Canis lupus familiaris: one gene and its partners. The protein of the gene in region 6 interacts with the protein of the main gene of each other region in a pairwise test. Links are inferred from orthologs where the notes say so. Each region holds a gene or a part of one and is shown on either strand. Other genes may lie near its edges. The genes, in order: CPNE7, STK16, LONRF1, CFAP206, TOP3B, ADAMTSL4 and NATD1.

Evidence for each region.
Region 1: the proteins of ADAMTSL4 (region 6) and CPNE7 interact in binary tests that used the Homo sapiens proteins (3 or more experiments, as listed by UniProt). The two-hybrid records come from large-scale screens. The link is inferred for Canis lupus familiaris from reciprocal best matches to the Homo sapiens genes ADAMTSL4 and CPNE7.
Region 2: the proteins of ADAMTSL4 (region 6) and STK16 interact in binary tests that used the Homo sapiens proteins (3 or more experiments, as listed by UniProt). The two-hybrid records come from large-scale screens. The link is inferred for Canis lupus familiaris from reciprocal best matches to the Homo sapiens genes ADAMTSL4 and STK16.
Region 3: the proteins of ADAMTSL4 (region 6) and LONRF1 interact in binary tests that used the Homo sapiens proteins (3 or more experiments, as listed by UniProt). The two-hybrid records come from large-scale screens. The link is inferred for Canis lupus familiaris from reciprocal best matches to the Homo sapiens genes ADAMTSL4 and LONRF1.
Region 4: the proteins of ADAMTSL4 (region 6) and CFAP206 interact in binary tests that used the Homo sapiens proteins (3 or more experiments, as listed by UniProt). The two-hybrid records come from large-scale screens. The link is inferred for Canis lupus familiaris from reciprocal best matches to the Homo sapiens genes ADAMTSL4 and CFAP206.
Region 5: the proteins of ADAMTSL4 (region 6) and TOP3B interact in binary tests that used the Homo sapiens proteins (3 or more experiments, as listed by UniProt). The two-hybrid records come from large-scale screens. The link is inferred for Canis lupus familiaris from reciprocal best matches to the Homo sapiens genes ADAMTSL4 and TOP3B.
Region 7: the proteins of ADAMTSL4 (region 6) and NATD1 interact in binary tests that used the Homo sapiens proteins (3 or more experiments, as listed by UniProt). The two-hybrid records come from large-scale screens. The link is inferred for Canis lupus familiaris from reciprocal best matches to the Homo sapiens genes ADAMTSL4 and NATD1.

The regions. Positions count from the first base shown.
Region 1 is NC_049226.1:64,449,365-64,452,864, reverse strand, and holds part of CPNE7 (copine-7), read left to right. Parts: coding exon 1-59; intron 60-154; coding exon 155-253; coding exon of another isoform or gene 254-292; intron 293-804; coding exon 805-891; intron 892-1,210; coding exon 1,211-1,270; coding exon of another isoform or gene 1,271-1,355; intron 1,356-2,172; coding exon 2,173-2,306; intron 2,307-3,211; coding exon 3,212-3,266; intron 3,267-3,500. UniProt on the Homo sapiens protein: Calcium-dependent phospholipid-binding protein that may play a role in calcium-mediated intracellular processes.
Region 2 is NC_049258.1:25,668,451-25,672,406, forward strand, and holds the start of STK16 (serine/threonine-protein kinase 16), read left to right. Parts: upstream 1-1,156; 5' UTR 1,157-1,251; intron 1,252-1,553; 5' UTR 1,554-1,657; coding exon 1,658-1,743; intron 1,744-2,332; exon of another isoform or gene 2,333-2,347; coding exon of another isoform or gene 2,348-2,356; intron 2,357-2,551; coding exon 2,552-2,771; intron 2,772-3,035; coding exon 3,036-3,169; intron 3,170-3,343; coding exon 3,344-3,464; intron 3,465-3,591; coding exon 3,592-3,687; intron 3,688-3,956. UniProt on the Homo sapiens protein: Membrane-associated protein kinase that phosphorylates on serine and threonine residues. In vitro substrates include DRG1, ENO1 and EIF4EBP1. Also autophosphorylates. May be involved in secretory vesicle trafficking or intracellular signaling.
Region 3 is NC_049237.1:37,049,457-37,052,956, reverse strand, and holds part of LONRF1 (LON peptidase N-terminal domain and RING finger protein 1), read left to right. Parts: intron 1-122; coding exon 123-237; intron 238-3,124; coding exon 3,125-3,246; intron 3,247-3,500.
Region 4 is NC_049233.1:47,142,735-47,146,869, reverse strand, and holds the start of CFAP206 (cilia- and flagella-associated protein 206), read right to left. Parts: upstream 2,801-4,135; 5' UTR 2,730-2,800; coding exon 2,699-2,729; intron 1,354-2,698; coding exon 1,241-1,353; intron 632-1,240; coding exon 548-631; intron 1-547. UniProt on the Homo sapiens protein: Essential for sperm motility and is involved in the regulation of the beating frequency of motile cilia on the epithelial cells of the respiratory tract. Required for the establishment of radial spokes in sperm flagella.
Region 5 is NC_049247.1:31,374,837-31,378,336, forward strand, and holds part of TOP3B (DNA topoisomerase 3-beta-1), read right to left. Parts: intron 3,262-3,500; coding exon 3,105-3,261; intron 2,318-3,104; coding exon 2,204-2,317; intron 517-2,203; coding exon 426-516; intron 1-425. UniProt on the Homo sapiens protein: Releases the supercoiling and torsional tension of DNA introduced during the DNA replication and transcription by transiently cleaving and rejoining one strand of the DNA duplex.
Region 6 is NC_049238.1:60,392,771-60,396,798, forward strand, and holds the start of ADAMTSL4 (ADAMTS-like protein 4), read left to right. Parts: upstream 1-1,228; 5' UTR 1,229-1,359; intron 1,360-1,619; exon of another isoform or gene 1,620-1,780; intron 1,781-2,698; exon of another isoform or gene 2,699-2,826; intron 2,827-3,107; exon of another isoform or gene 3,108-3,706; 5' UTR 3,707-3,792; coding exon 3,793-3,812; exon of another isoform or gene 3,813-3,998; coding exon 3,999-4,028. UniProt on the Homo sapiens protein: Positive regulation of apoptosis. May facilitate FBN1 microfibril biogenesis.
Region 7 is NC_049226.1:42,921,049-42,925,339, forward strand, and holds the start of NATD1 (protein NATD1), read right to left. Parts: upstream 2,801-4,291; 5' UTR 2,780-2,800; coding exon 2,674-2,779; intron 1-2,673.

The DNA of each region.
Region 1 (3,500 bases), on a different chromosome or scaffold from region 6:
AGCCTTTCAAGGTCACCCTGAGCAGTCTGTGCAGCGGCCAAGAGACACGGCCTCTGAAGGTGGGGCAGCATGGGGGGCCGGTGGGGGCGGGGATGGGGACTCCAGGTGGGGGTCCCAGAGGGGCAGGCGGGCTGAGGGGGCCTGGGCTCCCCAGTGCCTCGTCTGGGATTACGACTCCCGTGGAAAGCACGACTTCATCGGGGAGTTCTCCACCACCTATGAGGAGATGCAAAAAGCTTTCGGGGAGGACCAGGTGAGCTGGGGCCCCTCTCCCCCTTCCCCCGAAAACAGGGTGGAAACGGGGTGAAAGCCTAGCTCTGGTCCTTCTGCAAAGGGTTCCCTGGGAGGAGCCACAAGGAGGCAGGTAGGGCACCTGCCGGAGCAGGATTTGCTCTGGAAACTCTTACTACTGGGAAAACCCAAAGAAGATAGGTGGTGACCACGCCTGCCAGGGGCCAGAGCAGGGACAGTAGTCCGCTCGGTACAGCAGCAGAAATGCAGTTCAGGGCTGGGGGTTTTGGGTTTTGTTTTTTTAAAGATTTTATCGATTTATTTGAGAGAGAGGGAGATAAAGCAGGAGCAGGGGGAGGGGCAGGGGGAGAGGGAGAGGCAGGCTCCCCTCCCCACTGAGCAGGGCTCCATCCCAGGACCCCGGGATCACGACCTGAGCTGAAGGCAGACGCTTCACCGACGGAGCCCCCCAGGTGCCCCTGGGCTGGGGTTTGAGGCCTCCCTGCCCCCTTGGGGTGGGTGTTGGGCCCTGGCACTCTGGGGTGGGGGTGTCTGCCTATCCCTGCCCCCCAGGCCCAGTGGGACTGCGTGAACGCCAAATACAAGCAGAAGAAGCGTCATTACAAGAACTCCGGGGTGGTCATCCTGGCAGATCTGAAGGTGAGCTGCGCCCCCTGCCTGCAGACACCCCACTCACCCTCAGTGGGCTGGGGGCTGGCTCCCACCGAAACCGCCCCTCCTGCAAGTCTCCCCATTGTCAGACGGACCCTCAAAGGCCTCCCATCCCAGAGGTCCAGTGGTCCCCAGTAATGGGGAGGGAGGTGAGGAGGGATGGAGGAGAGGAGGTGTCAGAGAAGGGAAGTGGGGGGGTGCTGGGGGTCGGGTGACCCTGGGGGGAGGGCAGCTCCCTGGGGCTCCAGCCTCAGTGCCTGGGTGTGGGGTGCCCCGGGTGGGCCCTGCTGACGCCCCTGCCTGGAAGTTCTACAGGGTTTACTCTTTCCTGGACTACATCATGGGCGGCTGTCAGATCCACTTCACAGTGAGTGCACAGGACCCTGCTCCCCGCCCTGCCGGCAGAACCTGGGGCCCTCCCCATCCTGGATGGGGCGGACAAGCATAAATGGGTACAGTAGGCACTTCTGCAGGGTCTGGAGGTCCTGCACACCCCCTGCCCAGGCTCTGGGTTCTTCAGGGGGCGACTTTTCCGATGCAGATGAAACAGGCACAGAGGGTCTCCCTCGGGAGGGGATGTAGCCAGGACAGACACAGTCACAGAAACCCAGGTGAGGAGAGAACAGAGTGGCCCCTGTTGCTGCCAGGGACAGCACCAGAAGCCACAGGCCCCTGCTGGTGTGGGGCTGGCCTGTAGCTAGAGAGCCTGGTGTCCCTGCCTGTGTGTCACCTCTTTGCTCATTCATGGACGCATGGGGTCATGTCACTCCCCTGAGCAGCAGCCACCATGGTCTGAGGGAAGTGGCCCAGCAGGGGAAGTCCTTGGGGACCCCAGCCCAGGGCTTGTATTCTCAGACCCTGCCTGGGCAGCGTGGCCGCAGAGACGGGATGGACCTGGTCATGGCCTTGGGTCCCTTCTGGCCACCCCTGCCCCGGGCCCAGGACACTGCTGGATGAGCCCAGGGCTCAGTGTGATGGCACTGTGGGCCATGGGCTGGCGTTCCCTGGAGAGGTGCTTGTTTCTGCCTGAGGATACAGGCTTCAGGGTCATTGGTCAGCACTGACGGATGCCCGCTGTCCCCAGGTTCCCCTCTGTCCTCCACCCCAGCAGAGCTGGGCCCTCGGAAGGCCCTGGAACTGCTCTCGTTTGCACCCCTTGGCAAGCAGCTCCCCACGGCTCATTCCCCTACTTGCCGAAGGGGGTTCTGGGTGCCTAGTCCAGCCCAGGTGAGAGAGGGGCCCCCAGCTCATGAGCCCGGGTCTCTGCAGGTGGCCATCGACTTCACAGCCTCCAATGGTGACCCCCGCAACAGCTGCTCCCTACACTATATCAACCCCTTCCAACCCAACGAGTACCTGCAGGCCCTGGTGGCCGTGGGAGAGATCTGCCAGGACTATGACAGGTGGGGCCTGTCCCTCAGTCCCCAACCTGCCCTCTACCCTCTGCCTTGCCCTGCCCCCCTGACCTGACCTGTCCCCCTGACCCATCCCGTCCACCTGACCCACCTTTCCCCTCTGACCCTCCCTGTCCCCCCCGACCCACCCTGTGCCCCCCACCTGCCCTGTCCCCCTCCATCTTCCCTCTCTCCTGACCTGCTCTGTACCCCCCACCCTCCTTGTCCCCCACCACCCGCCTCTCCCCTTCCCCTTCCTGCCTCCCTGGCCTCCAGCACAGGCTTCGGCCCAGGGGGTGGGCACCATGACTGTATCCACCGACCAGAGGAAGCTGCCCAAGGACGGCTGGCAGTGCCTGGGCCACAGTGGGTGGGGCTCATTCCATGGGCTGGACCCTGGTGTCCTTGTGTGGCTCCTCCCCATGGGTAGTCCATCCCCTGAGGTGAAGCATGAGTCAGAACCCCCATGTGCTACGGTGGGGCTGCCCCTCACGTGTTCTCCTTCACACAAACATGGGGAGCGGTCTGTGGCCCACTTTACAGTTGGGTAAACTAAGATCATGGTGGGGTAGACCCCTCTGTGAGAGGGTGGGTGGCAGAGAGCTGAGGTACCAAAGGCAGGAGGCCGGTCCTTTCCAGGGTCAGGCTGTGGTCCCAGAGCACAGGCTTGGAGAAGGAGGCGGCGGCTCTCCCCACCACTGGAGGCCACTGTCTTCTTCGTGCACTGCCTAAGTGTCCCCCATGTGGTGCGAAGTGGGACTGGGCGCCCAGGAAAGTGTCAGGGTGGGCCTGGTCACACAGGGGTGGAATCGAGCCCCACTCTCTTGGTCCTGGTGGATACCTCCCCAAAGCACCCCCGTCCCTACCCCCGGGAAATCAGGGACCCCTGTGTGATGGGGCCACCTCTCTTCCAGCGACAAGAGATTTTCTGCTTTGGGGTTTGGAGCTCGAATCCCTCCCAAGTATGAGGTAGGAGAGCCTGGGGAGTGGGACCCCAGCCCCTTGTACCTGCTGGGGCCTCCAGGGCCACGCAGCTTCTCCCCAGCAGAGGCTGTCCTGGGTCCTGGGACCCCTTGGCTGCTGGGAACTGGTTCCTATGTAACAGGCAGTGGGCAGGTTGCAGGGACTCTGTGCTTCCTGCCAGAGAGGCTGACCTTGCTCACCTAGCACTAGTGGCCCTGGAGAGCTGAAAAGAAACTGTGT
Region 2 (3,956 bases), on a different chromosome or scaffold from region 6:
TCCTACCTCAGACCTATTAGAATCAGAATTTGGATTTTAACAAGATTCCCAGGCGATCCGAAAGGCATTCAAGATTGAGAAGCACTGTGGTACTAAACTGAGCTCCCTGAGGGTGAAGAGTACCTTGTCCATCTTGCATCCTCAGCTTCTAGCACGGGACTCGGTACATAGCAGGTTAAATCTAGATGAATGAATGTCGGAACCAGGGGGCTAAAACAGGTTCGGAATCAATCTTCCCAGTGGTGTGAAAGTAGGAACCAAGTTATAAATGGGATTTTTTTTTTTTTCTCCTAGTGGCCCTGCTACAGCAAAAGAGACCACCTCAGCCATTCTGTCTTCTTTGGATGTCCACCGCTCTTCAATTTATCCCTGCCCTGCCTCAGCGAGAGCTGTCAAGAACAACTACCTGGGGCCAAGGCTTGGGAATTTATGAATTTCCATGACTCCTGCCTTCACAATCCCAAGCCTGGGATGTAAGGACCAGGATAAGAAAAATAGAATCATAATAAAAATAACAGCAACTTCTATTTATTGACACCAAGGCTGTGTCAGATAGTGTGCTAAGCACTTTACATCTCACTTCATCTTCAAAAAGCTCCGTGCAGTTGGTAATTATCACTCCCATTTTACCCATGAGGGAATTGAGAGGCAGAAATTTTAAATAGTCTGCTCAAGGTCACGCAGCTAGTTTAGCAGAGCTGGGAGCTGCAGCCTGGCCTCCCCGTACGGGCACCTAACCTTAGGTACTGTTAGAGCTTGTTTACAACTGGGGAAACCGAGGCTCTGAGAGGTTAAGTCGTCCAAGGTCACGCAGCTAGTAAGCTCTTAACCACTGAAACTAGGGTAGTGGGATGCAGGCCTGAGCCCCGAAGGGTGCACCGATCGGCGCTGTGGGGGTCCAGGCCGCCGGCCCCCGCCCGGCCCCCGCCCCTCGGGGCTGGACTGCAGCTTCCTACCTCCGGCATTGGGAGACGGGGGGCCTGGGGGGCCTCGGGCCGAGCCCGGCTTTGCTCCCCTTGGGCGCGGGTGCCTGCGTCCTGCCCACTACTGAAGGCCTGGTGTGGAACCCTCACCGGGTCCCGGGACCCGTGCTCCCCCGCGCCTTAGCCCGCCCCCGGCCTCTCAGCTCCGCGCCCCCACATCCTCCGGATGCCCTGCGGTTGCTAGGATACCGCGGGCCGTTACGCCGGCGCGGCCTGATGACGTAGACGCTCCTTCCGGTCCGCGGCGCTCGTCTCCGGCCGGAGCCAGGTCAGTGGGGAGTCGGGGCCGGCCCTCCCGGGGCTCTGCGCGCCGAGGCCGGGGCGGGCCCCGCCGGGTGGGCCCGGGCCTCGCCCCCACGCTCCGCGGCTGCCGAGGCGGCCCGACGGCGAGGACGCGGCCTGGGCGTCGCGGCGTGGCCCGAGGCTCCAGGGCACCCGACCTCGGCCGTGCCCGAGCCGGCGTCGCCAAGGCTCGTTTCCTCTGCGTTCCGAGGCCCGGGCGCCAGCTCTGCACGTCGGCACTTCGGGGGTCGTGCCTGGCCCACGACCCTGCCGTCCTTTGCCTTCCAGCATGATCCGCGGGGCCCCCAGCGCGTCGCCTGGAAGAGCCCCCTCAGCCCGCACGCGGCCGTCGGCAGCCCCGGACCGCCCCTGAGGAGGATGACTGAGGCGCTATGGGCCACGCGCTGTGTGTCTGCTCCCGGGGAACCGTCCTCATTGACAACAAGCGCTACCTCTTCATCCAGAAACTGGGGGAGGGGTGAGTGTTGAAATCGCCTAGCCAGCCCCCAGGGTTCTGGTGAGTGAAGGACAGCAGTCTGCACGTGATAGGGCCTCAGGAGGTTCATCCTTGTAAAGCATCCTTTAGCTCCCCTGACAGAGCCTAGCAACCCGAATGCCAAGAAAGTGGATTCTGGAGCCAGGCCTCCTGGCTCCACCTGGTGTGACCTTAAGCCGTGGTTTCATCATCTGCTTAATGGAGATAATCATCTTTTTTTTTTTTTTTTTAAGATTTTATTTATTAGAGACACACACACACGCACATGCACAGGCAGAGGGAGAAGCAGGCCCCATGCAGGGAGCCCGATGCGGGACTCGATCCTGGGTCTCCAGGGTCAGGCCCTGGGCTGAAGGCTGCGCTAAACCGCTGGGCCACCCGGGCTGCCCTGGAGATAATTATCTTTTGTCGCTGATGGAGTTGTGAGGATTAAATGAGATAGTGCATAGAAATCATCTCACCAAAAAGAGAAAAAATAATAATAATAATCTCACCCAGGGCCCGGTTCACAGCACTTGACAGATGTTGACTGTTACTTACTCATGTAACATTTCCGGAGCATTTGTCACGTGCAGAGCTGTGCATTATGACCAAGGTACCTCAAAGATTGCTGTGTTCCTACCCTTGAGCTCAAAGTGTAAAATCTTCAGACTTCTCCTGAAGCCACGTCTTGGGAGGGTTTCTGCTGACTGGGAAAGACACCCCCTCCCCTCCCCACCCAGGGAGTTCCTCTGGGTCCAAGCAGTGTGGGAGATGACCGTGGTCCTTCACTGACCCCTTTGGCCCACAGTGGGTTCAGCTATGTGGACCTAGTGGAGGGGTTACATGATGGACACTTCTACGCCCTGAAGCGGATCCTGTGTCACGAGCAGCAGGATCGGGAGGAAGCCCAACGAGAAGCAGACATGCATCGCCTCTTCCATCACCCCAACATCCTCCGCCTTGTGGCTTATTGTCTGAGGGAGCGGGGCACTAAACATGAGGCCTGGCTGCTGCTACCCTTCTTCAAGGTCAGAAAGTCTCCTGGCAATGGAGGGGCTTGCAACAGAGTCATCTACCGAGGGCTGTGTGAGTAGCCAAGCACGTTAGGAAGCAGAGACCATGTCCTGTGTTGGACCGCTTCAGATTTGGGGTTTAGGGGAACCCAAGTGGGACTGTGAGGTGTGTAGTGTGTGTGGTGAAAGAGCTGCTAGGCTGTGACACAGGGAAGGGATCAGGCTGAGGGAGCAGAGACCCAGAAAACCTGTCCAACCGTGGGGAAACTTGTGTTGCAGAGGGGTACGCTGTGGAACGAGATAGAAAGGCTGAAGGACAAAGGCAACTTCTTGACTGAAGATCAAATCCTTCAGCTGCTGCTGGGTATCTGCAGAGGCCTTGAGGCCATTCATGCCAGAGGTTATGCCCACAGGTCAGTGGGAGGGCCCAGTGTGCTTATGGGGCAGAAAGAAAGAGCCTCACCAAAAGGATTGAGTGGTCTCTGCTCTCCTCCCAAGGAACAGTCCCCATGATTCTTTTGCCCCCAGGGATTCTAGTCTCCCTATCCAGGGATGTTCATGGGCCATTTATTTCCACTTTCCTGCAGGGACCTGAAGCCCACCAATATCTTGCTTGGAGATGAGGGGCAGCCAGTTTTAATGGACTTGGGTTCCATGAATCAAGCTTGCATCCATGTGGAAGGCTCCCGCCAGGCTCTGGCCCTGCAGGTAAAAGAGTGTCCAGGTTCCTTTGCCCTCCTGTTCCCCATCCTCAGCCTTTCCTGTTGCATGCCCCAGTTTGGTCACATGACTATGACCTGTGCCTCTCTTTTGAGCTATGGGGCCACTCTTCCAGGACTGGGCAGCCCAGCGATGCACCATCTCCTACCGCGCCCCAGAGCTCTTCTCCGTGCAGAGCCACTGTGTCATTGATGAGCGGACTGATGTCTGGGTGAGGAGCATGTGGGGGGGCACATGGATGGGGAGGAGTACCGCTCTGTACCTGCTGTGCAGCAGAGGGGCAGGTCTTTGGTTTCGATTGCATGGGGCCCCAGGAACCGTGTATGTCCCCATCCCCCTCGACTTCCTTCCTGGGAACCGTCACTGACACTGTACTCAATTGCTCAGGAAGTGGTATCATTCCTCCCTTTGAACAGAATGAGTACAGCTAAGTGTCAGGACTGAAGGCAGTGGCAAGCAGGGGGTGCAGAAGCCTCCAGC
Region 3 (3,500 bases), on a different chromosome or scaffold from region 6:
CCCTTCCTTCCTCTCCTGCTCACTAGATCCTCCTTCTTCTTCAAATAGAGGTCTATTATTTATTCACTTTTTCCAATGTATAGTTTAACGTGAAAACTAACATGTATTTTGGTTGGTTTCAGGTTGTTTTTTGAGCCAGTAACAACCCCTTGTGGACACTCATTCTGTAAGAATTGCCTTGAGCGTTGTTTAGATCATACACCATATTGTCCTCTTTGCAAAGAAAGCTTAAAAGAGGTAAACATTTGTATATTTATCTGTTTATTGGTCTTAAGCTTGGCAACATTGATTTCTGTTTGGCCATAGAAATAGTGATTACCACGTTCAGAATAAGTTACTTTATGTATGCTAAGTGACCAGGAAGGATAACGTTTCATTACCCAAATGCTAGTGGTGGAGAAAGAAGAATTTAGAGAGCATAGGGGAAAGTTAGGTGGTCCTGGAGGCCAAGCCCCATGTACTTTTTTTTTAACAAGATCTGGTGTGATCAAGTACCTGGTGTAGAATGGGTTCAATTTTAATGACAGTATTGGGGAAACCCAGTTGCCCTGCCTTCCATCCTCCTCAGTAATAGGCTAGATTTTGGCCCCAGTTCTGCCCCCTTTAACATCTGGACAAACTCTAATAGAATTTTTTGCCTTGATGGAAATGCTCTATACTATGCTGTCCGCATGGTAGCCACTAGTCACATGTAGTAATTAAGCACTTGAAATGTGGCTAGTGTGACTGAGGAACTGTATTTTAAATTTTAATTCTCATTTAAGTAGGCAGAGGTGACTGTGGCTACCATTTGGGCAGCACAGCTCTAAAGAGTGGTATATGGACAGAAGAGCTTCCCATAGCCCTTGTATAGCCCATGTGTTAAGGAAATAGCTAGATCTCAGGTGCATATCCTTCTGTAACCAATGGAAAGACAACATTCTACCAATCCTGCTTGGGTGACTGGAACCCCCCCCCCCCCCCATAAGGTGAGGCCCAGGCATCATAATTCTGAGCTCCAACTGCAAGGATGGCATTGATTAGGGAGAGTGATCCTGTTTCTTGTGGTGATAGGATTGCTCAAAAAAAATAAAAAGTTGATAAGACATTTTGTAAATGAATGTGTGTATTTATTTCCTATATAGAAAACACAGCTCTGTACAGATATGATACCATATGTGTATTATTAATTTGATATATAATAAGCTTGTATGTAAAACATTAAACCATATACAAATTTTGTCCAGAAACAAGATAAACTCATTCTTAAAGAGTTTGTTAGTTACATTTCAGCTGATATACTTAATGTTTTCAGGTGAAGTACTCCAATCATGCTGTTTTTCTTGTGTTTCCAGGTTTTTAGATACTCTGTAGCACATTTATCACACTTTTTCTCTAATAATTAGACACGATGGCTTTAAATAAAGATACAATTAACACACTGTTTAAAAATAACCTTATCCTGTGTCTTAAAGATATCCTGTATAGTAGGTAAAATCTAATATATATCTTAAAAAACAAATTGATATGCTCTATAGTTTTACTCTTTTCCTACTTGTCATTTTCTTTTGCTCATTTTTTCATTTGAATGTATTCTAAAGATAGGATTTTTATAGCAACATAATAGTTCATTGATTTAACATTTCCCTGTTGTAAGTTGTTTTGTTCTTTTTTTATATATACTACACTTTGTGTCTTTGACTATATTTCCTTAAGATAAAATTTCTGGAAGGTGAATTATTAACCAAAAGCCATATATTCATAAGACTCTTAAAACCAATTACTGGGTTGCCTACATTCCCCAGAAATATTGTACAGATTTAATTTCCTATCAGTAATGTAAGAGAGGTGGTTATTTCCCCAAATTTAATATAAGAGTATTACATTATATATTATTATTATATAGCCCCATGGTTTTCAAAATGTGTTCCCCTTCACCTGGGAACTTGTTAGAAATACAAATTCTCAGACCCTACACTCCACAGCCACTAAATCAGAAACTCTGTGGGCTAGGGCTCAGCAATCTGCATTTTAACAAGCCCTGATTCGTGCTGAAGTTTGAAAACCACTACTGTTACCCGTTTCCCAACCTCCCACATTCCCTCCTCCTCCTCTGTTCTTCATTGGATAATGACAAACCCTTATTTTTGCTACATCTGCAGATTTTAAAAGTATGGCTTCTCTGTATCTTGTGATTGTCTCCCAAAAGTCATTCCTCACTACTTTTATGAAATTTATATTGGTCATTTTTGTGTTCGAAAATCCTGTACACACCCTCTGACCCGGTCCCTGGCCTTAGGCAGTTTTTAAACTTATCTACAGAAATATAATGTCTCCTTGTCCATGTAATGAATACGGTGCAGGGTGTGGTAACTGCCTTTTATGTGGTAAAGGCGGTAGAAATGGGCTTCTTGCGAGCCAGAAAGATAATTAAGGCAGACTTCACGAAAAAGGTAAAGATGTAGCCAAGCCTTGCAGGATAGGCAGGCTTCTCATAGCAGGAGGGAGAGAGGCACGGCTTTTAGCAGTTACTAGAGAATGACAGAAATGTGTGAGTGGCAGTTTTGCAGAGTATTGAGGGAGCAGTACAAATGCACCATTTTATATGGAGAGGGACACAACCTCTCGCTGAGGGTCTGAGTGATTGATAGTAGGTGATGAGGGAAGCAAAAATCTGAAAGAAAAATTATCTGGAAACTCTGCCACTGAAATGGAACAAGAAAGGGAATAGTTTTGCTTTTCTTAAATAAGGCACTTGCCTTTATTTTATTAGCTTATTTTTGTTTCTCAGTTAAAATGCTAGTTTGAAGTACCCAGAAGCTGCCCGATAGAAGTTGGCCTTTGGTGTGGGAGAGGGCAGGGCAGGCCTGAGTGCTGCTAATAGAGGATTCGTGGCCACAGCCAGACAAGGGTCTTCTGTATAGGGCACGGTTTCCACTGCAACCGTGTACCTTTATTGGTCTCAGCACAGCCTGGACAGGTTGACCTGTTTAGCACCATCTGTTGTCATGTTCCCCCCCTCACCCCTTAATTCAGAATTGACTGTATAAATATGTAATAAAGGCTTTACTCTATTCAGTTCAACTGTTTTGCCTGTTTTATACCATAGGAAAAGTACTGGAATGTAAATAATATTGTCTTTTAGTATCTAGCAGATAGGAGGTACTGTGTCACACAGCTGTTGGAAGAATTGATAGTGAAGTATCTGCCTGATGAGCTGTCTGAGAGAAAAAAAATATATGATGAAGAAACTGCTGAGCTCTCACAGTAAGTTTCTTCTCATAAAGTTAATGTAATCCCCACCCTTTGACACAGTAAGGCGACCTCCTCCCAGCAAGCTGGATCCTGTCTGCAGTTCAACCCAGTCTAGCCAAAGGCGTATTTTAAACAAATAACTGGTCAGCTCCCCCCTCTCCTCAACAGACAGAAGTTTTTTTTAAAAGTTTCTTTAGTAACTTCCAGATGTTCCACTGGGGGTTGCCGACTCAGCTCTTCACCCCGTTAGCAGGCTTTTAGGCGGA
Region 4 (4,135 bases), on a different chromosome or scaffold from region 6:
CACAAATTACACTGAATGAATAATTATCTGAATCTTAATTTAGTGCTAGGTCTATAGTATATGAACAGTCAGTTAATGTTCTCAGTGTAACATTAGATTAATAACAAGATGTTTCTAAAATACACATTTAATGACATTGCTACCTGCCAGTATCCATATCCATCCTTCCTTACCAACAGCCCCAATCTGGATTGGGGACAAGATTTGTTCAGCTGAAAACAGAAAAAGAAATCAATGTCCCTGGCTCGCCTGCAGTACCATTCTGGTCAATAAATGTAAACAGATGGGAAAAATTCTAAGAAAGCTATTACTTTCTGAATATAGTGACTGACCCAACTGGCACATGCAAGATGGTGACCCAGGAAGCCAGGAAAAACAACCTATGTATCTTTAGACTTTATGAGAAACAATAAATCTCACATTTTTTTTGTACCACCAGTTGGTAGGGTTTTGTTTCATGAAGCTGAAGGCAATAATGGCTAATACATATATTGTATTCAGAATTGCAAACAAATAATTTAAAATTTGAGAACTGTCGTATAATCACCTTAACAAGTTTCTGTACATCACTTTTCATGAGGGTTCTATCCATGTTAAAGCCATTACTGGGGTCCAAGACAACAGCTTTCACCTGAGAGTGGAAAGAAGCTATTAAATAATTTTATTTCATATAATTATGAAACTGGTTTGTTTCCATTTTTTAAACTGCCTCCTGATTACTCAGGGGTCGATTATTCAGCTGATTTTCTTATTATTACCCAATTCACCAGTGCTTTCATTAGAGGTTGAAGGAAGCAAGCAATAACCATCACATTTGAATATGGTGTTTGAAAAATTATGTGGAGAAATAAATTGAAAAAAGTGAATAGATTTTAGATTGGGAAACTATTTGAATATTTTATCATATTTTTATTATGTATTGTTAAATCTAAAGCAAGAATAGAGAGACCAAGGCAATGAGTAATTTTTATAACAGTGAACAAAAATACATGCTACAGCTCTGACACAACAATATTACCGATGCTTCTAAAACAAATCAAGATCTTCTAAATCAGTGTCTATAAATCTAGAATGACATGCTTCATAGAAAAAAATAATTTTTGCTAACTTGTCCAGTGGCCTCAATATGTTTTCAGCAGAGTAACATTTAGGAAAGCTTCACAAAATCTTAAGAGGGAAATCAGCACCACTTAAAGCTATTTTTCAATAAAGCAATAATTCAAAAAATATTCATTCTTACCATAAAAGCAGCCAGAGTTTCAGAAACAATCTCTCCATGGCCTGCACATTCTTGTCCTATTTCTCGAATGATATTCTTTATAACACTTTCTGCCTGAGTGGGAGGCATTCTGCCTAAGTAAAACAATGATTATTTTTTTAAAGAACTGTATTTATATATGATTTTTTCCTCTTAGATTTGTAAAGAGTCATTCTATTATTTATTAACCTATTAGTATTTATTAGCATCTATAAAAATTTAAAAACTTTTCTCTAATTTATAAAACTGAAGGACTTTGTTGATGACAGAGCAATCAGGACTTCAAATTGGAACGGAAGTATTTCCTATTTTGTGAAAAATGACATAAATAGAGCCATTTTCAAAACAGAACTGGAGCAGCCATTTCAGGGGAACTGCTCTGCATGTCCTCTTCTCTTCTTTACACCTTTGAACTAAGCCCAACTGCCAACATCCCAAGAGTCAGCAAGAACGAGAAAATCCTGTTTGAAAAGCAATAAATAAGAACTCTTGACTAGCGACCACTTCACTTACCCAATGACTGAAGTACAAATCTAGCCCTGCTTGTCAACACCAAAGAGCTCTTCTTAAAAACAACCTACCCAAACATTTTTCTTCCATAAAAACCCTGAATCCACCTCCTTTAATTGGCGAACTATTTGGGTTTCTACCCAAATCTGTACATCCCCAATTGCAATCCTTTTATCACAAATAACCGCTTTGCCTCTTGAACTGGTTTCTTGTTTTTAGGTTGACAGTCTAAATGCTGGTGATTACCAAAGGTATATTTATATCATGATATATATTTTTCCAATTTAATGACTGAACTGTATTAGGGAGGTAGATTTAATGAGAAACCCCAGTCCTATCGGTGCAGGTGGCAAAATACAGTTTTTAGGCGGAAATGTTTAGTCCGCCACATTCACTAAGTGATCTCTCATAATTACATGGGACTCTAGGAAAACAATTCTTGCTCAAATCCTCTAAATTCTCTTTCCTGCGCATCCCAGCTGGAGTTTGGGCTTTTGACTAAAAATATAAATGAAAAAAAAAACCAAAACATATTATGTGAAATATGGACATTTTGAAAGATAAACTCCTAAATTATTAATTCCATTTACTACAAACCAATAAAGGGTGGTACGTTTTAATGAGTTTCCCCATCTTCCCAAGCATCAGTAACTGAGCACTGGGATTCTTTGCACGTAGAGAGGAACAAAGGCAATCCGGGTAGATAAAGCGAACTCTCAGCATCACTAATGTTCATTTAAGGTAGCGCTTGGCATTTTGTCCAGTAGAATCAGACGGCCTGGGATCCGTGGCGACCCCATCATTTTCTAGCTGAGACCCTAAGCATTTGCTTCCCCCCTCTGAGAGCCGGTTTCCTTCTCTGAAACTTTGGTATGACTAGTACCCTCCTCCCAGATTGTCCCAAGACCTAAGCGAGCTCTGTGCACCTACTGGTTAAAACAGTGCGAGGCATAAAAGGCATAAAGTAAGCGATTAGAACAGCGGCTTGCAACAGGTACTCAGGGTCAGCGGCGCCTGCGCGCGTTCGCGAGAGCGGCGGGGGCGGGGCCGCGGCGGGGGCGGGGCGGGGGCGGGGCGGGGGCGGGGCCGCGGCGGGGGCGGGGCCGCAGGGGGTTGCTACGGACTCGCCTCCGCCCCACTTCTCCCCTCTCCCGCGGTGCCCCGCAGACACCCGAAGACTCAGACGCGCGCTCAGCGGGATGAGAGGTCTGACCTGCCGACCTGGGCGCCTCTGACCGGACACCACCCCTGTTTCCGCTGAGTCTGGGCGCCGGGAAAGGAATTCTGACGGCAGCTGAGTCCCAACCGAGGCTGCCCCGGGCGTCCAGCCGCGGGGGCTCCACCTGCTGCGCACGCGGCCTCCTCTGGCGGTACACCTGGGGCTGCGGGGCGCGGCGCCTCGAGGCCCCTCCACGCCCCGCTCTGCCCTGCCTCGGGCAGGCCGCGGTACTCCGCGTGGGCCCAGTAACCGCGGAGACAGAACGCGGAGGCCCAACCCAGGGGGCCTTGTGGGCGGAGCCAACGTGGGGAGGCGTGGCCGCGCCCAAACGCCAGAGACTTTGCCCGAAGGGATGGGCAACAATTTTTTTTTTTAAAGATTTTATTTATTTATTCATGAGAGACACAGAGAGAGGCAGAGACACAGGCAGAGGGAGGAGCAGGCTCCATGCAGGGAGCCCGACGTGGGACTCCATCCCGGGACTCCAGGATCACGCCCCGGGCTGAGCCACCCGGACTGCCCTGGGCAACAATTTTTAAAAACAGAAATGAACAAAATATATAGAAGGTCCCAAACCTGGTAGAGAAAAGCAGGCTCACTGCACCTTAGTGGTTAAGGGTGTCAAACACGAGGTTTCTTAAGAGTATTTACTTGGGTGAAAATTAATGAAGAGAAGTCTCCCTAAAAGCGGACTTGGAAGGCTGGAAGGGGTGCCTGCAAGGGGAAGCCCCTCCCACTCCACCATTAAATTATAGGAAGAATTGCCAATTAAAGACCGCAACGGAAGAATCTTCAAAAGGAAAAGAATCGTCAATTACAGCCTGAACAGGGAAGTTGTACATTGTAACCTATGAGAAATCGAATACCCCTGTACCTCAGCCAATGAGAAATCCTCATCCCCCTGGACTCTTGCTTTTCTCAAACGGACTTTTTTTTAATTTTTTTTATTATTTTTTTATTTTTTTATTTTTGAAGTCTATCTATTTGACAGAGAGAGAGAGGCAGGCAGAGGCAGAGGGAGAAGCGGGCTCCAGGCTGAGCAGGGAGCCCGGTGTGGGGCTCCATCCCGGGACCCTGGGATCACAAGCCCGGCTGAAGGCAGGCGCTTAATGGACTGAGCCCCCCAGGTGCCCCTCTCCAATGGACAT
Region 5 (3,500 bases), on a different chromosome or scaffold from region 6:
GCATGGATGTCTAGTAATAAAAAACAGTCTGAATTTTCTCCACGTAAATTCAAAGAAGCTGTTGAGTATTAACCAATAATCCTCTGAAATAGGATCCTCCTGCATGTTTGTTAGTTTGTTATTAGTTATTTCCACTCTGGAATTTAAGAGAAATTAGCTCAGCATTAGGCTCAGATTCCCACTAAGCCTTGCAAGATACTGCAGGTGGGCTGTGGCTTGACACAGGTTAACATGCAAGGGGCTACTCAGCACAGGTGCGGGGGGGGGGGAAACACTCGGCACAGGTGAGCATGGAGGGAGAGTGCCGGCAGAGGTGAGAGCATCAGCGCTGCCCTGCAACCCCAGGCGCTGCACCAGGGCTGAATAGCTCACGGTGTCCCACCCAGGAAGTCTTTTGTGGGCTTTAGAGGAACGTTCCTACATACCCAGAGAAGAGCTAGCGACACGCAGCATCTCCACAGTGTTAAGGGCGAGGGGCCTCTGCTTGGCCTTCTCTTTCCTGCTTGTGGCCTCCACCTACAAGACAGAATAGGTTCAGGGATTTGGGGTGGCAGGGGCAAAGACACCACAATAGAGAATCAGGATGTGTGGGCCAAAGGGTCTGGTTTCATTCAATTGGTCTCCCTGCTTCTCAGTTTCACTCTTCACCATGGTCTCAAGACTTGAATATGTATTCAGTCCGAGGAAGGGAAAAAGAAAATTCTTTTCTGGGGAACTTTCTAGGGAAAGAGGAAACATAGAAGAATGGGGAAGAGCCAGGAGAAGGGGTTACAAACTCATCCTACAGGAGCCAGAAACAGCCAGGCCACTGGGACGGCAGGTGAGGCCTGCGGCAGGCCACGGAGTGCAGGCCCACCTTGGGCAGCCACTTGCCTCTCGGTGCACCCAAGTGCTCCCACCAGGGGTTACTGGTGTTGCTACATCTTCCAGTTTGTCAACAAAAGCTGCAAATCAGGCCTTTTATGTGAAATCTTGTAATTTTCCAATGTTGGTAACTGTTTTGAAATGTTTGTAAACAGCATGTAGTTTAAATAAAATATCAATCAGCTTCAAACTCTGGGCTGAACGGTTGTCAGAAGAGAGGACTGTCTTGCCTGTGGCTAAAACAATCCAAACAACTGTGATGCTTTGCCCCTCCTAACACCACAGAGACCAGCCATGCATCAGGGCAGTGCCTTGTGGATTCCAGAAGGACAAATGTGGGGGCAAATTTAGTCCAAAATGGGTGTGTGCTGCAGTGGAAGCTGGGATCACTATGGGTGAGACCTGGAGATGGTGGCAAGGGGTATCCTGAGAACACGATCAAGGATAAAAGCGTGAAGCAGGGACGTCTGGATGGCTCAGCGATTGGGCAGCGCCCTTCGGTTCAGGTTGTGATCCTGGGATCTGGGATCGAGTCCCAAACTGGGCTCCCTGCAAGGAGCCTGCTTCTCCCTCTGCCTATGACTGCCTCTCTCTTTCAGTCTGTGTCTCTCATGTATAAATAAATCTTAAGAAAAAAAAAAAAAAGAAAAAGTGTGAAGCAGCTTTGGAGGAAGTTCTGGAAGCCTGCATCAATTGCATGTCTAAGCAGAGGGCACCCAAGGAAAGCTTGAAAAGGACGAGAAGGCAGCTGAAGAAGGCCAGGCCGTACCTGCACGACTGTGGTAGCTGGTAAGGCTGTGGGCCACTGCAGTGGCGGTGGAATTGCCCCCACCCCAGGCAGCCAGCCCCCTGCCAGGTGGCATCACCTTCTTCCTAAAAGCCCAGCACATGACTCTCAAATTCATAAAAAACCTGAGTAAAAAACACAGCACCATAAAGGCCAGGAAAGCTGACTGAGCCTGGGATATCCCATGCTAGCTGTGTGACCTCGGCCGAGTTCACTGACATGCACACAGGTCCCTCTAGAGTTGTTAGCGTCCGTATCACAGAAAAGGCACATTGGTGTGAAATGGAGTCCTGCCAAAAAGAGATAATGCCCCTGGGGTCACATGGATAGGGGCTGCAGGTCGTGGATGTGGGGCAATGCCTGGTACAGAGCAGGGATGTAGCACACAGTTACCGCTTGCATCAATAACTGTCCATCTTTCTACAAGATGTCTATTTCCAGAAAGGAAAGAAAGATGGGACCCTAGGTCACGAGCTACTCTTCTAGCCAGAGGCATCCAAGGTCTACCCCTGCCCCGAGCAAACGTGACAGATACACGTGGGGCAGGCCCACCTGGGCTTCCTTCTCCAGCTTTGTCATGTTTAAAAACATCTGTGCGATCTCCCGGTCGAACACTCGTACTCGGTCCCAGTCCAAAAGAAGAGATCTGTCTTTATCGGCATTGACCTATAGGAAAAAGTACAAAGGCAGAAGACGGGAAAGAAAATGTCCAGGTGAGCACACACTGCCAGGGAAGAGAATCGAGGTAGATGAAGCTGGTCCTCCTCTGGGAAGAAAATGGTCCCGGCTCTAAGGTCTCACAGCCATACCTATACAGGTGTGCAGAGGTGCACAGATATGTAGGCTGAGACCCAGCCCTGTCCCAAGGAAAGGCTGCCCTGACTCCAGGCCTCTCCCCTGAGATTTGGCAAGTAGTCTCGTAAGGGGAGCCCAGAGCCAAGGCTGCTGTATCCTTAAGGGTGTTGGAACCTCCGTCACAAATGCCATCCCTGCCCACCCTCTGACACCTGGCCAGCACTAGGTGTAGTCCTTACAGGGGCCCCCAGCCCTATGTCAACCAGACCAGCTCTGTATTGCTTTAAATCTTGTAAGAAGCTTACACGGACGGCATTATTTGGAGAAATGGTTCTAAGACTTCAAAAAGTCTGAAAGTCAGTGGCTTATGGCCCTTGGTCCAAACCTCGGACCTGACCATCACAGCTGACTGTTCTGAGGCATGATCTACCCGGCCCCCTCCCCCTCAAGGCTGAGTTCATTCTTGCCTCTCTAAATTCAATGCATTCAGGCCTATGAAGGCTGGGATCCCTTCCCTGAGCACCCCACAGACCACTCTGGCGTCTCTCCTGTGCCCTTGGCCTCGGGGGTTTAATGGGCCGGATGATGACAGAAGACCCTCAGAGTCCACAGCCCAAACCTGGAAAGACCCAGCGTGTGTAGGGAAGGGAAAGCAAACCTTGGCCTGCAGCACCCAGTACGTCTCCGGTTTGAAGGACTGGATTTTATCATGTCTCTCCACGCAGAAGCCCAGGGTAGGGGTTTGACATGGCCCAAAGGAGATGAGGGAGCTGTCTAGATTGCCATATTTTCCCTGGAAGTACTTAGTTTGAAATCTACAAGGAGGCATGGGGTAGAGAAAGATATTCTGGTCACGTATGCACTCAAAGCCACCATCGTTAATCACCCACGTTGAGTCCAGCATGGGGCCAGCTGGCGGCAGTGCCCCTGCTCAGAAGACAGGGGACAGAGTGAGAACGTGGCTCAGCACAGGGGCCGGGAAAGGTGTGTGTGGGTAGAGAGGAATCATGTGTTTGCACACATGGCACGGAAGGCAAGAGAGAAGAGTTTCCCC
Region 6 (4,028 bases):
CTTGGGTAGCTCAGTCAGTCAATTAAGCCTCGGACTCTTGTTTTGGCTCAGGTCATGATCTCAGGATTGTGAGTTTGAGCCTGGAGTCCAGCTCTGCATTCAGCAAGGACTCTGCTTGAGTTTCTCTCTTCCTCTCCCTCTGGCCCTCCTGCTCTTGCTGTCTGTCTGTCTCTCAAATAAATAAATAAATCTTTAAAAAAAGAAAAAGAAAATAGTCAACCCAACAATCTGTCACTATGGTTCATGAGTAGATGGCAAATAAAAATCTTAAATAGTAGTAACCATTTATTATCTACTCTATGTCAGCCATGTTGTATAAATTATTTATTTATTAACGTAACTAAACATAGAGCTTCTGGGTGAAAACTCAAACAATACATAAGCGGACAGGGTAAAAAGCTAAAGCCTATTTTTTTTTTTTTTTTTGCTCCCCAGTGTGACCACCCTGAGTCTGGGGTGCATTCCTCCAGATCCGGGTGGGCAGCCCTATCTCCCAGCCCATCAGACACGTCAGATTAGTTCCATTTTACAGACAAGGAAACTGCAGCACAGAAAGGTTGAAGTCTTCACCCAGGGTCACACAGCTGGCGCCTCCTGGAGCTAAGATGCACATCCAGATCCTCTGACTCCTAAGTCAGCGCATTTCTTCTGCTACACGCCCTATGTGTGTAACATTTTTTTTTTAAAGATTTTATTTATATATTCATGAGAGAGACACACACACAGAGAGAGACACAGAGAGAGAGGCAGAGACACAGGCAGAGGGAGAAGCGGGCTCCATGCAGGGAGCCCGACGCGGGACTGGATTCTGGGACCTGGGGTCACGCCCTGGGCGGAGGCAGACAGACGCCCAACCGCAGAGCCAGCGTCCCCGTGTGTAACGTTTTATGGATGGAGAAATCGAGGCTCGTCGAGGTCCCCGAGCCGTCACACCGCGCGGCCACAGCCCCACCCGGGGCAGGCCGGGCTGATCCGCCCGCACGAGGCTGCGCGGAGCGGCGGGGGGAAGCCTCCGCTCAGAGCCAGCGAGCAGGCCGGGCCCCCGCCCCCCGCCCCGCGCCCCGCGCCCCCGCCCCCGCCCCCGCCCCAGCCGGGCCAGCGCTCGCGCCAGGGACCCGCGGGGCCCGCACGCCGGGTGGTCGCGGCCCGCGGCGGGGGCTGGGGGCCGCGGAGGGGCGCGGGGCGGGCGGGCGCCAGCAGGCAGGGGCGGGGCGGGGCGGGCGGGGGGCGGAGCCGCGGCCGGAGGCCGTGGTGTCCCGAGCGCGGCTCAGGGGCCGGAGTGGCCGTCGCGGAGCAAGGCTGCCTCCAGACAGCGCTCGGGCACAGAAGGGTTAAGGCCGCCGGGGCCGCGCGGAGCAGGTACAGACCCCCCTCCCCGAGACCCCGGCCGCCCGCCCTCCCGCCCGGTCAGAGCCCCCGCCGCGCCGCCCCCGCGTCCCGCGGTCGCCACCCCAGCCGCTGCTCCGGCCCCAGCTCTGTAGTCTCCGGAGATCTTCCAGTTCCGGGGGTCGAATTCCTGGGGAGGGGATTCCGATCCTGCGGAACTCTGGCCCCATCACCCGGTCGGAGAATCAGCCAAAATTCCTACTAAGTCGCGGGAGTGAAGTTGGAAAACATACCCAGGACCTCCCCGCACGCGCTGGCGCCTCCTGCCCTCCTCCTCCGGGAGGGTGCTCCTTCGAGGATGTGTGCCTCTGCCACCCCCTTAAGTCTCGGGGTTGGGGCCAGGGACGCTGGGACCGGTGCCGGGGGTTGCCCTTGATCCAGCTCAGCCCGAAGACTAGAAAAGGAAAGACACCTGTTTGGATGGTCCTCCGGACCAGGGAATGGAGGGCACAGTGAGGACCAGGAAGTTCTGACCCAGGAGAGGGGCTCTCCTGGAACACGCTGTCCCACCCCTCCCCTGCAGCAGCAACCCGTTTCCCAGAAGTGGGTCCCTCTGGGGGTGAAGGGGTTAGCCCTGCCTGGGTCTCTCCTTGATCCTCACTGGCCAGTGTGGAGCTGTGGCCAGGAGGAGCCCAGGTTTGTCCAGACCAGTGTCTAGCCTGGTGCCGGGGTGACCACTTCTGACCTCTCCCTTCCTCACCCTGGGCAGTGAGACACCCCACATGAGGAACATGAAAAGGGGTGAGAAGCACAAATGTATGTCTGTCTCTGCAGTGGAGGGGGTGTCGGCCCCCTGCCCAGCTGTACAGGGGGTGGGGTAGGACTTTTCCAGAGAGGGAGCCAGGCCTGGCCAGGGCTCCAGGAGTTCACGTCACCCCCACCCCCCACCCCTCACTTCTCCAGGGAACTGCCAAAGCCAAACCCAGCTCAGGACGGGATTATGTGTACTGGGTAGACCCGCAGAGAGAGACAGCAAGATACAGAGCCGGGGTAGCAGAGAGAAGCAGAGACTGTCCAGAGGGAGTGGAGAGGGTAGCCAGCAGCAGACAGGGACAGATGGTGACCATCACCCCCATCTCTCCTCTTCAACCACAGGAACAGAGGCAGGCCAGAGCTAAAGGTTTGGGTGGACCGTTGGCTCTTCTCAGAGCCTCTATACCCCCATCAGGGTGGAGCAGCCATCAGCAACCCCTTCTCAACCTAAAGCCGCTGAGGTGACCCTGTGCACCCAGGCCCAACCTCTGCAAACCCTCCCACAGACTTCCAAGTCTTGGGGTCTCAGAGAGGAGACTGGGGCTGAGAGTGTCCTTACCGCCAAGTACATTCCTGCCCTTCCGTCTCATTCTCCTGCCCCCGAGCTGGCCCACCTCGGCATCAGCTCCTTGGATTCCTCTCCTGGGTGCCTTTCAGATCCAACAGAAACATTTTTTTTTTTTTTTCCTGGAAAGCAGAACCAAGAGCAGGTTGAGGAGTGAGGGTGGGAAGGGCTCAGAGTGAGCAGCAAGGGGCTGGAGAGCTTTGAGACCAGGGGTGGGTTCCATGCTCTACTTTGCTGACGATGAAAGGTAGGATGGACTTCCTTACTCCTCAGAATGATAGGCCTGTGGCTGGGGAGCAAGGGCAGCTCTAGCTGCATCTTTCCTTCCTGGGTACCCCCAGCCTGTCATCGTTGGGCCTGACATAAGCTCTCATTGCCAGTGCAGAGGGATGGGGAAAATCACCTGCTTCTCCAGAGATTAAATCATCAGCCCACTTAGTTTATCTCTTGGCTACAAAGTGTTTGAGTCCGGCAGAGATGCCTGAGTGTTCCAGAAGGAGCTTCGTTAAAAATGGGAGAAAGAGCTGGGTGGCAGGTAGGGAAAGGAACTCCCATGGGGCTTCTGGTCCACTCCTTGGAGTGGGTGTCCCACATGTTGTCACCCATGCCTCCCTCGGCCATCGGGGTCCTCTGGGAGGGAGGAGGGCAAACCAGATCAGAATCATCTTCAGGAAGAGCGTGTGCTGTGTGGCCCAAGCTGTCCTGTAAACAATCCCTAGTGGGGAGGAGGGAGGAGCTGAGGAGTTCCTGCAGGCTGACAGGAGGGGACTGAGCCACTGAGCCACGGTCTGGAGGCTGAGGTCAGCCCCCCACCTTCCAGCCTCAGCGGCCCAGGAAGGGCAGCATTCCTTCCTGCTCTCACCCTTAAGGTCAGAGGGGGTGGACCACTCCCCCCACACCCCTCCATCCTCTCTCAGAGATGCCCTTCTGAGTAGCCCTCCGTGCCAACCCCCTGGCTTTCTGGCGCCTGGAGAAGTGACCACATGGCTCCTGTCCCCACAGAGCGTGCCCTCTCAGCGCCCAGATGCGGGAGTAGTGTGTTTACTCCCGGTCCTCTGTCCCCTGCCCCGGGCATCCAGGGAGGAGCGATGGAGAAGTGGGCGGGCAGGTAAGTGTGGGGCTGCCAGCCGGAGGGCCACTCTGTCCCTGGAAGTGAGGGGACGGCCACTGCTGGGCAGGGCGGGGGCAAGTGATGGGCAACTTCTGCTTTCTGAGAAGCTGGCGCCGGGATGCTGGCTGCCCGCTGCGGGGCGGGGTGGGGGGTGTCACAACACCTCCTCTGGCTGGTTGGCAGGCCCCGGTTATGTCTGATGCTGCTTCTGTC
Region 7 (4,291 bases), on a different chromosome or scaffold from region 6:
GAAGTCAGGGCTTACCCTGCCCCAGGGTTGGGGATCAGGGAGCATGCAGAAAGCACCAGGATTCTAGGACCCAGATGACCTTCCTCCCTGCAACACGTGGGACACTCAGCCCTGGCTGGGAGGTCAGAGCTAAGGCCAAGGAGGGACTTCCCAGGGACAGGGGCTCAGTGCTGCCTTAGATGCCTACTGGCTATGTGCCCTGGTGTCCCCACCTATGACATACAGGGCCTTCGGTCTTGCTGCCTCCTCCACTTGGAGTGCTCTGTCTGATGGAGCTCTCCCTTCTTGCCTCCTTTAGGTCTTTAAGTAACTGGCACGTTCCCAGAGTGGCCCCCCTGGACCCTGGATTCTAGGCAGCAGCCTTTGCCTAACCAGGCCCTTGCCTTCTAGGACACTTGACACTTCACATATTGTCTACTGCCCGTCTAGACTGTCAGCCTACCAGTACTCAGCACCTAGAACAATGTTTGGTACACAGTAGGCACTCAATAACAGCCTGTGTGAGGGATCCCAGTTCTCCCACCTCTGAGTACAAGACCCTGAGCAAGCCAGTCACTTCCCTGTATCTAGGGATCCTCATCTATAAAACAGGAAGAGCAGTTTCCCCTCACCCCCCCCCCCCCCCCCCCCCCCCCCGCCACATGCCCAGAACCCGCCCGGGACGCAAGGACTCGGATGCAGTGGCTCAGCCTCTGCCATCGCCCACAAGCGGAGCTCGCTAGAAACTCATTGGTACAGCTCTGCCAGGGGGATGGCCCCAGAGGCTGCTCTGGCTCTCAGGCTGAGCATTCACCTCCCTCGGTAGGCACCCTGAGCTAGTCTCCAGGGCCTGCCCTGCTGTTCGGGGGGCTCTATGGCAGGACGTTACCCTCTGCAGCTGAGGAAAGGCCCAGGCCCAGACATGGATGCTCTCACCCTACTACTCCCCATATACACAGCCAGACCCCCCTCCCAGGCTGGACAGAAGCTGGTGGCCTCCCACTGCTCCCTGGGCTTGGCTGGGGAGCCCCAGTCCATGATGGAGTTAGCCATTCAGGGAAGGGCAGGAGACAAGGTTAGAAAAACGGCTAGGCACATCCAGCCTTGACCATTGCCAATCCTGGAGGGGTGTCCTTTGGCTGGACTGATTGGCAACAAAAAGGAAAACCCCAAACTTTCTGACTGTACAGAGGAACCTCCTGAGCCCCTAGGGAAACACAGGCCTCCCTGGAACCTCAGAAAAGAAGCTGTGAAAAGCCACAAGGACCCTCCACACAAGTGGCCAACTGGAGTGTCAAGGTCACCTGGACCACAGTGAGCACCACAGTGGTGGAAGAACCTGCGTCCACACGGAAAGAACACGGTGCCTGGTCAGTCGGGCCTGGGCTTGAGCTCTGGCACTTTGGGGGGTCACTCCTCCCCTACCGTTCAAAACTCAGTTTACTCATCCGTAACGTGGGGTGAGAATGCCCACATGAAGGGGATGTTGTAGCAGGGATGCGGTCCGTCCTTGTCCCTGCCCCAGCCCCTCCTGACTTCCCGTGCAAGTACAGGCTGGATAAGCCCAGCTCCAGGGCTCACACTAGGGGGGATCCTATCCCAGCTCTGCCCTAACTCACTGCCTGACCTTAGGCGAGCCTCTCCCTTCGCCGAGCCTCTGTCTTCCCTTGTCAGAAATGGGCACAATGGCCTCTGAGGGCCCTTCTGGCTTGGACACTGCCGCAGGGGGGCCCAGCTGGGATGGAAGAAAAAGTTATTAATGCAGAGAGGGGGTGCATAGAGAGCTCCTGATCCTAGATCTTATCATTCTATTTTCTGTCCCCTCAGACCTCTTAGCCAGGAGGGGGCACAGGCTAGTAAGTGGTGGAAACTTTCTTTACAGGAAATGAAGACTTTGCTTTCTGGTTTTCAAAACCACCATCAGTAGAGCAGCACTTGCTCTGCCAGGGCTATTCTAAGGCTTCTTTACTCTCATTATTACAGCATTTTGTCCCTCCAACCAGGGCTCAGGTGTGCACTGGTGTCACTCCCATTGTAGAGATGGAGAAACCGGGGCACACAGAGTGGAGGTCACTTGGCCAAAGTCTCAGAGCCAACGGACCGATGGTGACACCTTCCCCTCTATCGCACCCCCCCCCCCCGCCCCCCGTGAAGCAGACACCCCTCTCTCCCTCACCCCAGGTCTGCCCAGGAGATGCCCCCAACCCGGGTGCAGAAAAGCTAAAGTTCCCAGGGGCGGCCAGAAGCCGTGTGGCCACCAGGGAGAGGCAGGAGGTCACGGTGGACTCACTCTCCAGGACTCCCACAACAGCCCCCAGGGGGTGTCCAACACCGGGACACGGCGGCGCTGGAGCAGGTGCGGGTCCCCTGCGGCCTGAAGCTGGGTGCTGGCGGCGGAGGACCCGGGCCGGCCCTGCTTGGACCTCTGCCTGCCCCGGGGCCCCCTCCCCCCACCCCTGCCCCGCGAGCCGGCCGCGCCCCCGCCTCGCCCGCGGGCACAGCGCGTGGCCTGCTCCCGGAGCGCGGGGCGGAGCGGGAGCGGAGCGGGGCCCCGCGGAGGCCACCCCGCGGCGCGCGCTCGCGACGCCCCTCCCGGGCCCGGGGCCGAGGGCGCGCGCCCCAGCTAGGGGGCGGCCTCGGCGGGCCCCGCTCGCTCGCAGACAAAAGGCGGGGGCGGGCCGGACGCCGCGTTACCGTTGAGCCGGACGGTGAACTGGCGGCGCCGGCGGTCGTGCTCCACGCGGATGGGGCAGCCCTGCTCCAGCGCGCCCAGCGGCACGGCGGCCGCCGAGTGCGCCATCTGCGCGCGGGGCAGCGCCGGCAGCGGCCGCCGGGACCCTCGGGCCGAGCCGGCTCGGCGGGGCCGGACGCGCGGAGAGGTGCGCGGGCCCGCGGCGGGGCGGCGGCGGCGGCGGCGGGGGGGGGGGGGCCGCGGGACGGCCGGGGGACCGCAGGCGGCGGCGCAGAAACTGACACTCGGCGGCGGCCGCGGCGGCGGCAGCAACAAAAAAAGGAGGGGGGCCAGGAAATCAGCTGTGAGGTCACGTGCGGCGCGCGGCCAATGGGCACGCGGCCTTTCTGTTTTGATACATTCCACTCGACTCTTAAAGGGGCCGAGCGCCTCCCTGGCCGCGTGCCACTCGTCCCTCCAAACAAAACAACGCGAGCCGCGTCCGCCCCGGGGACGCTGTGCCCTCTTGCGTTGGACCCGCGAGCCACTTGGGCCCCCTACACGGACCCCTTCTCAAGAACATGAAACGACCTATATACGGGGATCTCTAATCCTCCCCTCGAAGCCACCAGTTATTAAGCACTTGCTGTGTGCGCAGCGGGTGCGGGGCAAAGCCCTGGTAAGCTACACCTGCGCTCAGTGAACATTTTTTTTTTTTAATGGTCTAAAATAAACTCTTTTAATTGCACATTTGCGTCTCCGGTCATCTGTGGGGTGAGAAACCCCCCTCCTCATTCCCAATCCCAGCTACATGGGTACAATCTGAGGTCATGGTCCGGCTGTCGGTGAAGGGGTGAAGGTGGGTGCAGGGTTGGCTCAGGGATCCGCACCAGTCCGTACCTGTCTCTTCAGGGCAGGGGGCTCAGAGAGCTCAGACCGTGGTCGTACTTGCACTGCTTCAGGGCCTCGCCGAAGCCCTCACACAGGGACAGGTCACTCTGAGTGGTGGAGCAGTCCAGGAACTGCCTGACCTCTAGGCGCAGGGCCCCATCTGCAGGGGCTGGGGCCCAGTGCGGGTGGGGGCCTGCTGAGCGGCGGGCTGGGCGGGCTCCGAGCTGCCCCCGCTGAAGGCTCCGGTCGGGGCGCTGCCCACGACATGCCCCACAGCCGAGCCCACCGCCACCCCGGCTGCCGTGGACGCCATCTGCGCCATCAGGCCGGGCTGGCCCGACGGGGCGGCGGGGGCGCGGGCGGGGGCGCAGAGGGCGCGGCGGCGCGGCTGCGGGCAAGGCGTAGGGTTAGTCCCCGCCGCCCCCCCCTCAGTGAACATTCTTATCACGAGCCTGGAAAATAGTTCTGCTTGACTCTAGTTTACAGATAAGGAATAGAGGCCCAAGGCACACAGCTGCAATTCATAAGCAGCAGGGGGACGGTTGATGTTGCAGATGCGGCACCTATACGCAGGTGTGACTGTGAGGAGGGTCAAACCTGAGAAGCCTTGTTTGGGGTAGCCCATAGGGCGATAGGGCGGATGGTGAAATGCCGCCTCACCCCAAAAGAGGCAGAAGTGTAGGAGGGAGCTTTGGAGATCCTGGGATCCACCCCACAGATGGGGAAACTGAGCTCCAGAAAGAGAGCAGA